Sus scrofa: one gene and its partners. The protein of the gene in region 1 interacts with the protein of each later gene in a biochemical or structural test. Links are inferred from orthologs where the notes say so. Each region holds a gene or a part of one and is shown on either strand. Other genes may lie near its edges.

Evidence for each region.
Region 2: the proteins of MDC1 (region 1) and ATM form a complex in vitro, tested with the Homo sapiens proteins (2 studies listed by BioGRID, with this or other methods). The link is inferred for Sus scrofa from reciprocal best matches to the Homo sapiens genes MDC1 and ATM.
Region 3: the proteins of MDC1 (region 1) and CDC27 form a complex in vitro, tested with the Homo sapiens proteins (2 studies listed by BioGRID). The link is inferred for Sus scrofa from reciprocal best matches to the Homo sapiens genes MDC1 and CDC27.

The regions. Positions count from the first base shown.
Region 1 is NC_010449.5:23,239,337-23,243,437, forward strand, and holds part of MDC1 (mediator of DNA damage checkpoint protein 1), read right to left. Parts: coding exon 4,023-4,101; intron 3,085-4,022; exon of another isoform or gene 3,045-3,084; coding exon 2,664-3,044; intron 2,585-2,663; coding exon 2,518-2,584; intron 1,566-2,517; coding exon 109-1,565; intron 1-108. UniProt on the Homo sapiens protein: Histone reader protein required for checkpoint-mediated cell cycle arrest in response to DNA damage within both the S phase and G2/M phases of the cell cycle.
Region 2 is NC_010451.4:36,619,211-36,623,967, forward strand, and holds the start of ATM (serine-protein kinase ATM), read left to right. Parts: upstream 1-1,553; 5' UTR 1,554-1,695; intron 1,696-1,954; 5' UTR 1,955-2,674; intron 2,675-4,614; exon of another isoform or gene 4,615-4,710; intron 4,711-4,757. Other genes in the region: protein NPAT, read right to left, coding at 1,065-1,101.
Region 3 is NC_010454.4:16,809,523-16,814,071, forward strand, and holds the start of CDC27 (cell division cycle protein 27 homolog), read left to right. Parts: upstream 1-1,345; 5' UTR 1,346-1,428; coding exon of another isoform or gene 1,429-1,507; coding exon 1,508-1,534; intron 1,535-4,549. UniProt on the Homo sapiens protein: Component of the anaphase promoting complex/cyclosome (APC/C), a cell cycle-regulated E3 ubiquitin ligase that controls progression through mitosis and the G1 phase of the cell cycle.

The sequences.
Region 1 (4,101 bases):
GTCTATAAGCCACCTGGTCCAGAGTATTTTGTTATAGCAGCTCAACGGATGAAGGTGCCCTCTAAGCACTTTTTAGGGGTCAAGGGAGGAAGGGAAGCCAGTACTGACCGTCACGGTTGTCTCCAGAGTCTATGGTCCTGTCCACGTTTAGTTCTCTCTCCCTCTCTGTGAGGGCCTGGGTTCCCTCTCTCTGTGTCTGGGTGGCTTCCCCTGGAGCGCCTGTGTCCACCGCCACATCTGCTAGGTGCTCTCTTGAGACAAGGGGAAGGTCCTGCCCCACCTGTGCCCTGGCTGACACACTCTGGGCCCCGGCCCCAAGAGCTCGGTCCTGTTCAAGAATGGCTACAGCCCACTCCGTCCCAGCATCCCCTTCTGCCAGAAGCTGGCTCTTTCTGACGTCTGCCCCAGCTGAGGCTGCTAAGGACGTGTTCTTTTCCACATCTGGTTCATGGCCCCCAGCTGGAGGAGGGCGGGCTTCCGCTGGATGCACCACAGGCAGCTTTGCTGGGTCGCCTTCTGCCTCCACATCTGTTTGAGGTGTCCATGCCACAGGCACCTGATGCTTCTCTGAAAGTGTAACAGCTGGCCTTGGTGGGGCTTTCTCCTCCACTTGGGTGATGGCGTCCACAGTGGCAGAGGCTTGGCTTCTCCCTGGGTGGACTCCAGGTGAGCGCTCATCTTCCTCCACCTTCACGTCACTGCCCCTGAGAGGAGGCTGGCTCTTTTCTGGATGGGCCTTGTCTGCAGGACCCTTGGGGAGACTTCCTCTCTTTTCTAGGGGGAGCCCCTCTTCTTCCATGTCTGTGTCACTGTCTCTCCCAGCAGAGGCCTGGCTTTGATCCAGAAGGGCCACAGGTTGGGCCCTGTGGTCTCCTGCACCTGCATCTCTGTTCCATGGAACAGCCTGGCTCTCTCTCAGACGTGCCAGAGTGAGCGCCGCTGAGACTTCTTCCTCGTCATCCATGTTGCTGTCGATCATCATGGAGGCTCGGCTGCTGTCCAGAGGGACCGTCCGGGGGGCCTCTCCCTCCTCTATATCTGTATCACTACCAGCCGGGCTCTCCTGTGCATGTGCCACGCCAGGTGCCTGGGGGCTCTCTGTCCCAACTTCATGGAAGATCTGCCTCTTCTTCACGGGAACTACTGCTGGGGTGGCGGGGATCCCCTCTTCTTCCGCATCAGTATCACTGTCTATGAAGCCACAAGGCTGGGCCCTTTCTGAATGGGCTCCAGCTGGCCTCCGTGGAAGCCCACTCCCCTCATCCACATCTGTGTCACTGTCCTCCCCAGCAGGCTGGCTCCTCTCCAGAATCGCCCCAACTGGAACCACCCCATTGCTGGCAGCCCTCTTAACTCTTGCGTCCTTGTGCTTCTCCTTCACTGGACACTGGTCCTTTATGAGCTGGATTTCGGTTGTGACAGGTTTAGGCTGTTCTGTCTCTGCAGCTGAGGGAGCCTCTCCTGCTCCTGGTTGCTGACTTTCTTCCTCATCCGTGTCACTGTTCAAGTTGAAGGCAAAAGGTGGTCCAGGGCCATCTGGGGCGGGGGAAGGCCCCTCTTCATCACTGTGAAGGGAGGAGAAGAGAGAGAGTCTACAGAATCTATTTCTCCAGAAGGGAAACCCCACTCAACTGGGAGCTCCTCGAGAGCAGACATGAGGTAGTATTTGCTTTTCGTTTCTTTTTCTTTTTTTTCAGGTCATACCTGTAGCATATGGAAGTTCCTGGACTAAGGGTTGAATTGGAGCTGGAGCTGCCAGCCTATATTATAGCCACAGCAATGCTGGATCCTTAACCCATTGAGAGAGACCATGGATTGAACCCACATCCTCATGGACACTGTGTCAGGTTCTTAACCTGCTGAGCCACAATGGGAATTCCAGTATTTGCTTTTCTATCTCCAGCCATTCGTTTTCCACTTGGCACATCAGAGGTGATCAATAAAAATTCAGTTGAGTGAGAAGTTCCTTCTATGGCTCAGCAGGTTAAGAATCCAACTAGTATTCATGAGGATGTGGTTTTGATCCCCGCCCTTGATCAGTAGGTTAAGGATCCAGGGTTTCTGTGAGCTGTGGTATAGGTTGCAGACGTGGCTTGGATCCAGCATTGCTCCATATGCCACAGGTGCAACCCTAAAAAGAAACAAATAAAACTAAGTTGAATGAAAGAATATGAGGAGTTTCCCAGCCCTGACCTCCATGAGCTCTCTTGGATCCTCCAGCCCTTGGTTCCACCGTTTTTTTTTAAAGGGCTGCAGGTGCAACATGTGGAAATTCCTAGCCTAGGAGTTGAATCAGAGCTGCAGCTGCTGCCTACGCCACAGCCACGTGGATTCAAGCTGCATCTGCCACCTACACCACATCTTATGGCAACGCCAGATCCTTAACTCAGTGAGTGAGGCCAGGGATTGAACCAGCATCCTCATGGATCCTAGTTGGGTTCGTTTCCACTGAGCCACAGTGGGAACTCCTGTTCCTCCTCCTTTTGAGGACTCAGTTGTCTGGCCTCTGGCACTCACCTCTCTGGAATCACTGTTGTCAAAGAAGTCTTTGGTCCTTTCACCACACACCTTTCAGAAAGAGAATCTGTCAGGAGTAAAAAGGTTGATGATTTTACAGCCACCGTCCCCATCTCCTCACCTGCCCTCCCAATACTCGGACTTACCTACTTCCTCCTCTGAGTCCTCAGCCAACAGAAGCCTGTGCGGTTGAGTTCCTCCCTGTCCCCTGGGTGTCTCCTCTACAGTTAGAGGGCCCCGAGAGACCAAGGGCGGGGGGACATCCAAGCGATGGTACTGGCAGGGCAAGTCAGCAAAGAGAATCAACTCCCGGTTCCTCAAACGATGACTCACCCCAGGGCCCAGGACCTTGGGAGGCCTCAGGATCTGAGTGCCATTGAGGCTCCCACAGTCGCGGAGGACAGGCGCCTTGTTCCAGGCCAAGATTTCAATCACTGCATGTTGTTTGGAGATGGATGAAAAAGGCAGGGCCACAGAGCACTCGGGCATTCGGCCCACCACGTTCTTCCCAAGGTAGAGTGGGAAATCTAAGAATCAGAGAGGTAGAGAGGTTCCAAGGCCAGAGCCCTGACCTGCTATTAGGAAAACGTTCCTGTTAAGTCCCCCACTGCTCACTCAAGGCCCCCAAGTACATTAGGAAAACAAAAGATACCTAAGATAATTAGGTAATAAGGAATACATGCAATGCCTTATTTGTACTCAACACCTCATCCATCTATACTGATTTTTTTTTTTTTTCCTTTTTCTTTAATGGCCGCATCTGGGGTATATGGAAGTTCCCGGGCCAGGGACTGAATTCCAGCCGCAGCTGCAACCTATGCCACTGGTGTGGCAATGCTGGATCCTTTAACCTAATGTGCCATGGCCAGTGATCAAACCCGCCTCTCTGCAGTGACGCCAAACCACGACAGTCAGGATCTTTTTTTTTTTTTTTTTAAGGATCGCACCCACGGCATATGGAGGTTCCCAAGCTAGGGGTCAAATCGGAACTACAGCTGCCGGCCACAGCCATGCAGAACCCAAGCGGTGTCTGGACCTACACCACAGCTCACAGCAACATCGGAACCCTAATCCACTGAGCAAGGGCAGGGATCGAACCCGCAACCTCATGGTTCCTAGTCGGATTCGTTAACCACTGCACCACAATGGGAACTCCTCCTGGCTTATTTTTTATTGTGGTAAAATATACATAAAATTTGCCATTTAGCCATTTTTAAGTGTACAGTTTAGTGACATTAAGTATATTCACACTGTTGTGCAAAACCTCGTCACTATCCATTTCAAGACTCACCGGGTTTTCACTTAAACCCCTTTATCTTCTCCCACCAAAGTAAAATCACCCCCATGGAGTCCAGGGCACTTGCCGAGAGCAATCAATTCAATCAATCCTTCCTTCTCCATTCCCAGTAAAACATTTTTTCAGATCTTGACACATATAGAAGCTTGCAACCCTCCACCTCCCTCCCCACAGAAGAGGCCACTATCAGTACTTTAGCACCGAATACCTTTTTCTGGTCCATAGGAACTACTGAAGATACGCAGTTGCCCTACGGGCTGCAAGTTACACCCCAAAGGTTCACTGGG
Region 2 (4,757 bases), on another chromosome or scaffold:
GATATTTAGTTCTGATAAACTCGGCAAAGTATTAATCAAACATTAACAAAATACTAGTATAAGTCACTATTTTCTCCAAAAACAGATTACCCTCTAATGTTTTCTGTAAAATGTACTTATCAGAAACCTGTGCACGAAAGCCACTGGAGGGGAGGGGCAGGGCTGAGTTCTTTAAAAAGTAGCAAGAAATGGGATTTTGTGACAATAAAGTAATGGCTGTAGATTCCATGGGAAGTTTCATTACAGATGTTTACCATTTACATACGATGCCTGTAAATCACTGGCTCGAGTTTTAAGCTTTATGTGGCTTTCATTCCTAGCAGTACAATCCTCTATTCTTTCAGACGACAAATAACAAAACCCGTTTCCCATACAATGTACCCTGACAACTGGCCGTGGAACTAAACTGTTTTCAAAATGAGGAAAAACTAACTAGGACTAGAAATGTTCAAATGGAAGGCATTTCCCCTGTGAAAATTCTTGTTAATTAAAAGAACCCGAGCTGCTGCCGTCAGAAAGTATGCAATTAGCGTTTCAAACCTCTACACTGGACGACTTCTTGCGGAGGGACGGGATAAGGAAGGAAGATCACCCATTCGTCCCAAATTCGCAGTTCTAAGGGCGAGTTACGAGAAGGGCGTCAGGAATGTCTTTCTACAAAGCTGGGGGGAGGGGGCTGGGGGAAGTCCCTCTCTTTCCTACTTTGGTCCCAATTCTGACAAAGTGCAGTGTGCCAAGGTGAAGCCGTCGGTGCATCACGTAGCAGCTTCCCGGCAGGGTCCTAATTAAGTGTAGGCCTGACTTTCCCTCCAATCCCGGCTTCAGGTGTTCCACTCCGGGCTTCCTTCAGCCTCTCCTCATCACGCAACCTCGAAGGAGAGGAGTGTCCACACACAAAGCCCGAACCGCCCGAGCCCCCGGCTGAAGAACCACCGCCAGCCTGAACTCGGAGACGGGGAGGCAAAGCCCCAGAGCTTCCCTCCCTGGGGAAACCTTTGGCCCCGAGGGTCCTTCCGTCCAGCTCAGCCCGGTCCGGTCTCCCTCTCTACCGCGTCAACGCTTACCCAATACCAGCCGGGCTACGTCCGAGGGTAGCAGCATGATCCAAGCCGCAGGAGTACCCGCAGTGAGAGACGAGACTCAGGTAAAAGCCAACAGCGACGGCTCCTGCGCCGCATCTCCCGGTCCCGGTGGCGGCACTGAACCCCGCTGCAATTTGTCCCGCCTCTTTTGCTCCACGCCAGCCAATCGCTTCCGCGGGAGAAAGAAAGGCGCCGAAATGAAACCCGCCTCCGTTCTCCCTGGCACTGACGTCATTTCCGTGCTCACGTTTGGCGGGTGGGGTCAAGGGGGCGAGGAGGCGGGGCGCGAGCGTTGGAGACCAAGCCGCAGGGAGAGCGTGGCTGCAGGGTCGCATGCCATTGGCAGACAGTGCGCAGGCGCGTTCCCTTCCGAGCCCGGTGTTTTGGGAGAGTGTTTGGTGTCCGGCGCGCGTGGGCGGACCGTACCCGAACGCTCCGCACCTCTACCGCTTCCGCCCGGGACGCACGCTGCGTGGCCACGCTGAGTTTGGTCGGAAGCGGGATCAGTGCGTGGACAGGTGGCTCGGGCTGCTGCTGGGAGTGGAGCGGGGATTTGGTCTGCGGCTACGCCGCCACCAGGGATTCCACTTGGTTGTCCAGTCCAGCCGTCTTGGTGCGTAAGCCGTGTAGTGGCGTCTGCGTTGGGGAATTAAGATGCCTCCGGGCCGCTCTGTCCCAGCCCCCATATGCGCCCCTTTACTCCTCTCCCCACCTCATCTTGACGGGACTCTGGTACTCATTGCTTTCTCCAGCTCTCTTTTCGTGCCTCTGGTGGACTTAGCCTTGAACCTTCCTGTGCGTCCCCTGCCTCTGTGCCCAGAAATTAACTAGATGGCTTAACTAATCATCTTTTTCTCCCCTGTCATAATTAGTAGTTTAAGTCAACGAGTGATTCGTTGAGGCTTAAACTGAAGTTTCGTGGTTAAGAGCTTGGGCTCTGGAATCACACTCCCGGAGTTGGGGTTCTGTCAGCTGGCTGTGTGATCTCGCTGTACCATCTATCTCGTCATCATCCTATCCTGTGTCACCACTCAAGAGTGTTTGCTGTTTTTTACCAGGTACAGAGAAGTAAAAAGACTGTTACAATTCAGAGTGATAATGTGATAGAAGAACATTGTGATGGAAGAGGAGTGAATGAAGTTCTGTGGAAACGGCCTGGGAGAATCAGTTTCAGTTTGCAGTGAGATTTCAGTGTTAAACTGCCCTGGAGGGAGGTGGGAGCCTTACAGACAGAAGGGTAAATGCATATGAAGGCATAACGTGTGGAAGGTTCCTGAAGCTCTAGGGAGAGCCTCACAGAGAACATTACCCGATATTCTGTGGTAATCTATGTTGGAAAAGAAATGGAAAGAGAATGGATGTGTGTACATGTATAACTGAATCACTTTGCAGTACAGCAGAAGTTACCACAACATGTGAATCAACTGTCCTTCCATAAAACTTTAAAAAATGGAAAAAAAGGAGAAGAGAGAGGTCCTGCATGTAATGAAGTACATTTGGGCATTTTCAACATGTTGAACATATGCTCTTACTGGGATATGGTCTTAACTGGGAGAAAATTGAGAAGCAAGGAGACAAGGATATTCTTTCAGGTGTGGGTGGAAAAAGAACCATTAAAAGAGATGCGAAACAGAAAAGAAGGGAATAATGATAATTGCTGATATTTATTGAGCATTTGCTATGTCCCAGGCAGTGTGTTAAACATGTACATCAATCTTTAAAGTAACTTTGAAGTTCTAGTTCAATTCTAATGTGGTTTTTCATTTTATCATTGAGAAAACTGAGGTTTAGAGAGATTAGCTAGTTGGAGTTCCTGTCGTGGCACAGCGGAAATGAATCAGGCTAGGAACCATGGAGTTGTGGATTTGATCCCTGGCCTTGCTCAGTGAGTTAAGGATCCAGCATTGCTGTGGGCTGTGGTGTAGGTTGCAGATGCAGCTTGGATCCTGCATTGCTGTGGCTCTGGCCTAGGCTGGCAGCAATAGCTCCTATTAGACCCCTAGCCTGGGAACCTCCATATGCCGTGGATGTGGCCCTAAAAAGACAAAAAAAAAAAAAAAAGAGAGAGAGATTAGCTAACTGCCCAAGTTACATAGTTTGTAAGTGCAGGACCAGGGTATGAACTAGTGCAGTCTGACTACAAAGCCCACACTCTTAGCATTAGAAAAAAATGGCATGGTGGTCTTTTGTGCTGCAGCGGGTTAAGGATCTGGCATTGTCACTGCAGTGGCTGTATTGCCACTGTGGCTTAGGTTTGATCTCTGGCCTGGGAACTTCCACATGCCACAGGCACGGCTCCCCAAAAAAAGATGGCGTGCTAAGGGCAGAATTAGATCCAGAAAGATATGGTATAAGCATCATTGTCAAATTCTGCAAAGGGATCATTTTGGTTGAGATCTGAAAAGGAACAATGGATTTGCCAATTCAGAGGGTGTTACTTAGGAAATATGTGTTATACCACTTGCATCTTGGAAGTGGAGCCTAGATGTATTAATTGGATTAATGTATTAATTGAATTCAATTTTACCTGATGATACTCTTACTCTAGCTAACTACTGTCTTACTCTAGCTAACTACTGTCTTGTTCCTTTAGTTGTCTTTCATTTCCTCCAACATTGCAGTTTTCCATTTTAGAGCTCGCTGGCTGTGTTTCTCCTCTAAGATGTTGGTTCTCTCGCTCTTTCTGTGCCTGGCACCAGTTTATTCAGATCTTTTAACCCCCTGTAATATGTGTTCCTTAATAGGTTATAAAAAATGATCCTCTACATTGGTATTTTATTTCATTTGTCTTTTCAGGGCCTCATCTGTGGCATATGGAAGTTCCCAGACTAGGGGTTGAATCAGAGCTGCAGCTGCTGGCCTACACCACAGCCACAGCAATGGGGCATCCAAGTCGTGTCTGTGACCCACTCCACAGTTCATGGCAATGCTGAATTATTAACCCACTGATCAATGCCAGAGATCGAACCCACATCCTCATGGATACTGGTTGGGTTCATTACCACTAAGTCACAGTGGGAACTTTGCTATCCATTGATATTATATATTTTCTTCCTATGAGACATATATCACAATTTGGCATTAGGCATTGATTTATAAGTGCACTTTTTATTGTCACTCTCTCCCACTAATTATAACTCCAGGAGAGTAGGGTTTGTGTCTATTTAGTTCATTATATGTCTAGCTACCTCTAACACAGTACTTGGAACACCGTAGTTTCCCAGTAAAAGTCGTTGTGTGTATCAGTTAATGAACATCTCTTGTTTATATAGATAATACTCAGCTCTTCTGTTTTCTTGAAAGTAATCAATCTGAGATGTGAATGGGGGGAAAGTTCAGAGACTCCACAGCTTAAAGAAAAAAGTTTAGGGCTACCACTTCTTGGAATTGCAACATGTTTCAAAAACATGCATTATTTTCAATTACAATTAGCATATTTAGGAGTAAAAGTGCTTGCATTTATCATTCTTTGGCTATTGCTAAGATATTTTTATTGGTTAGAATCCTAACTTTATTTTCCTTTTCCCTCAAGATGGCATTAAACAAAGATTGAGCAAGAAGGGACAAGAGTCCTAGATAAAATTGTAAGGAATGGAAAAATAAAAATAACAGCCCTTGCCTTCAAGAGGTATATAATCAAATGAAAAAGGCTGTCAAGTAAATAACAGCCTGTAT
Region 3 (4,549 bases), on another chromosome or scaffold:
CTAAAAAGCAAACAATCAAACACACAATAAAACCCAAATGTTTTCCTTAACCTTAAGGTTACCAAAGAGGGAAGGGAGAGAGAGGGAGAAATTAGGAGTATGGGATTAATAGCTACAAACTACTCTACACAAAATAGATAAGCAACAAGGATTTACTGTATAGCACAGGGAACTATATTTGATATTTTGTAATAAACTATAATGGCAAACAATCTGTAAATATATCTGCATCACTTTGCTGTTCACCTGAAACATAATATTGTAAATCAACTATACTTGAATTTAAAAATATTGCAAAGACTTTTTCTTATCTACCAAAAAATAAAGTTTTGATAGTTCCCTGTTCACACATTCTGGGGGGAAAGGGAGCAGGAAGTAAATTTGAGAACCTCTTAGAGTTTGTTAGACACAGTCACATACTTTAATGCATTTAGTTCTCTTAATTGCTTTTTTTTTTCAGACTAAGGCAACAGAAGTTCAGGGAGGTTGTGACTTGCTTAAGGACCTAATACAATTTAGTGCCAGAGATAAAATTCAAAACTAAGCCTCTGAATTTCCCAATACACCACAATGCCTCTATCAAGAATAAAAAACTCTTCCCTCCTGAGATTTTTCCATGATCTGGCCACCTAAATAATCATTTCCAGTTAACGTACCAGATCTCATTCTACTTCCTTCTATTTTCTCCTTTCTTCTAATTCTACCCATCCTTCGAAACCAGTCTGAAACTTCCTCATCTCAATCCTAATTAATTTCCCTTTCCTCTCTTCTGAATGCTCACATCACCATATAATGTACTATTCTTTGTTACATTAGTTTTCCGTTAAATAGACAATAATCTCTTTGAGGACCGGGGTCCTACAAAATCTTCGGGGGTGGCAATCCTTCCAATTTCCTATTTTCCTTTTGAGCCTTGAATAGATAGTTCTGGAATGAATGAATGACCTAAACTCAAAATACAGATAATTCTTGTTTAACTAAAGTCAACCCCAAACTCTTGGGTTTAACCCTTTGCTTAATCTGCAGCGCACCAATTAATCCAGCAAGGTTGAGCGGAGAAGCAAGGCGGCCACCGGGTCACGTAACGATCCCAGCTGACTCCTGCAGCCATGCCCAGCCTACTGGTTGCGGATTGGGCGTGCCCTAGGGTGGCCCATGGGGGGCGTGGCGTGCGTGAGTGAAGGCATGGCGTAGAAGTGGAACCTACGCACTGGGTTACACTCGGTAATCTCCGGTAATCCTCGACAATTTCCGGCAACGGTCTCCTCCTCCGTCGATACACCTCGGGTATTTCCGGTTTCCTTCGGTCATTTCCGTCTGGCTCCCGCCCCGGTCTCTCCACTTCGGGTTTTTCCGTGTCCCTTTCGGAAGTACTCGGCAATCGCTCGGCCTCCCCCATCCCCCGGTAACGGTCGCTGGTGAGTTTAAATGAGCCGGGGCTGGCCGGGCCGGAGCCGCTACGGGGGGGGGCCTGAGGCACTGCAGAAAGTGGGCCTGAGCCTCAAGGATGACGGTGCTGCAGGAACCCGTCCAGGTAATGGTAACCCCCTTCGCTGAGGCTTGGCTCGCAGCCTTGGTCTGGAAGCAGCGTATGGCCACTTCGCGGCCTGGTGCGGCCTAGGCCCGGCTGCTTCTCCCGCCTCCCCTCTCGCCGGCTTCTGCCTGTCTTCTCGTCAGTTCCGAAGCCTTGCCCGCAACCTAAGCCGTGTTACCTCTGGCCCTACATTACTTCTTCCCCCAGCAGGAGCGGGGTTCGTTGATAAGACCCCCTTTCCCTTCCAGGCCAACGTCGAGCGAACCCCTTCTGTCAGTCTGGGGGCCGGGCCCGGGACGGGTTTGGGATGAGGGGGCGGAAAACTAGCCCCAGGTGCTCTCTTGCCTGAAGATGATTGGGAAGCATATTTGATCAGCGTTTGCAGGATCTTCATAATGGTGGGGCAAGTTTGCGGGGAGAGTGTTGTTTTTGATTTTGTTTTTGTTTTTTTGTGAGTAGGTGGAGGGAGGGTAGGATCGGTGTTTTTAATACTAATTTCTATTTCGGTGACAGACTTTGTAACCCACGTTGCTTTTCTCGCCCAGTAAACTTCCTTCTGGACAATGATTTCCGTCGAGAACTCCAAGGCCCGGTGCTGAGATGCAAGCACCTATTAAAGGGGAGAGGGTGGAAACGGCAAGTTGGGTTTTTTCCATGACCTATGATGGGAATCAGGAGTGTTTTATTGTACGTGTTTATAAGGCGTTCAGGAAATGAAAGGCAGATAATGATTTTTCCGTCCGTACCACACCAAGGTATGTTTTGATGCAAAGTGCTCCATTGGCTTGGAAGGAACCCTATTGGATTTTAAGTGTGTGATGATGCAGTGCCAAGTCATTCCCCCCCCCCCCAAGACATCTGAAGAAACTGAATCTTTTGTCCCTTGGTGATGGACCAGGTCTGGGAGACTTTATGCCTACCCTATGATCTTTGAATTGATTAAAAGAGTTGACCTTTATCAACTACTGTCTTTGAGTCAGGGACTTTCTTTATTTTGAAGTTAAAAAAAGAAACCAATTTTAGAAGTTCTTTCATATTGCCCTTAATAGGCCTATTCACTACTTACTATTGGTATCACATAGTAAAAAATTTAATACATCACTCCTTCCATATTTCCTTAATTTTTCTTCACAGGATGAAATACTATTTTCTCCTAGTTGGCTCTTTCTCTAGCTCTTTTCTGTATAGCAACTATTAGTTTTTTAGTTAATATAATGTGAGATTCTATCCTGGAAGTTTACCTGTTTTTACATTATACTGGTGCTTTCAAAGCTATTTCCTTCCATCACTTTTCTCTTACTAGTAAAGAGTCCCTTTTTAAGATTTTTTTTTTGAAGCCTAACATGAAATTGGAAGTTACTGTCTGTACCTTTTTAAATGGATAAGCAAATCACTTAAATCGTTTAATTTCTGCTTCAGATTTTTGTAATTTCAATAATTAATGATATATTTTCCTTCTCTGGTCCCCAAACCCTTCTAAAATGATAAACTAGTTTTATTACTAACCTATAACAACTATTTATTAACAATTTAAACTTACATAAAAACATAAAGAAAATATGTAGCCAATTCCTTGATAGTACCAATCGAGTTTCCTCTTTTTCTTTAAAGTACTCTTAACTCTAAAGCATTTAGGGTATTTTTAAGGCTTAAAAGTCAGATTTGTCTTGGAGTTCCCATCCTGGCTCAGCAGTTAGCAAACCCAGCTAGCATCCATGAGGACACGGGTTCAATACCTGGCCTTGCTCAGTGGGTTTAGGATCCAGCATTGCTATGAGCTGTGGTGTAGGTCGCAGACGTGGCTTGGATCCCACATTGCTGTGGCTGTGACATAGGCAGGCAGTTGCAGCTCCAATTGGACCCCTAACCTGGGAACCTCCATATGCCGTGGGGGCAGCCCTAAAAAGACAAAAAGACCCCCCCCCCAAAAAAGGTCAAATTGGTCTTTTTTTTTTTCCTATACTACCTTTATTAGATTTGGGCACAGTGGTAAGATGAGTGAAGATAGAGCTAGGTGAGAATTTTGGTTATAATTTTTACTATGAGAAGAAGCCATTCAAGAAGGGATCTGGAGCAATAGGATCTTTGGCTACAATGATAAAAATCAACTGATAGGAATAGTGCTGAAAATGGGAAGGAATTATTAAAAAAGAGAATAAAAATAGAACAGCTACATAAGATACTTTTTTTAAAACTCTAGTAAGTGATTGCATGTATTTGTGAAGGAATGAAAGAAGGTATTTCCTTTCTAGGGATGTCTCTGCTCAAGGTATTACTAGGCCTCCTTGGAAAAAGTTGAGAGAAAAGATGAGCAACTGTTTTTTGCTTTTTCTTTTTTAAAGTTTTAGCATGGAGTAGCCAGTTTGATTTAAACCGTATAAGCCTAAATACAATTCTCTCTCTTAGAAAAGTGTTACTTTATATTTGAGTCTTTACAAAAATCTCTATTATGAGGCAGAAATTTTTGTCAGTTATTTTTAAAGTAACTGGGAGATAAATTAGCCTAAGTGACTTGAATCAGTGTTAATTTGGATCTTAATAAAATTCATCTGATGAAATTTATTTATTTATTTATTTATTTATTTATTTTTTGTCTTTTTGCTATTTCTTTGGGCTGCTCCTGCGGCATATGGAGGTTCCCAGGCTAGGGGTCGAATCGGAGCTGTAGCTGCTAGCCTACGCCGGAGCCACAGCAACGTGGGATCCGAGCCGCGTCTGCAACCTACACCACAGCTCACGGCCGGATCGTTAACCCACTGAGCAAGGGCAGGGACCGAACCCGCAACCTCATGGTTCCTAGTTAGATTCGTTAACCACTGCGCCACGACGGGAACTCTGAAATTTATTTTTTAAATGACATTTTATATAGATTTATCAGTATTCCTGGGAGTAAGACATCATTATTAGAAGTGTTAGATGAAGTTGTAAAAAAAAAAAAAAAAGGCCTTGTAAATCACTTTAATAAGCAGCAGAGTAAGTGGGTGCTTTACACATATAATATTGTTTTAGAGATCA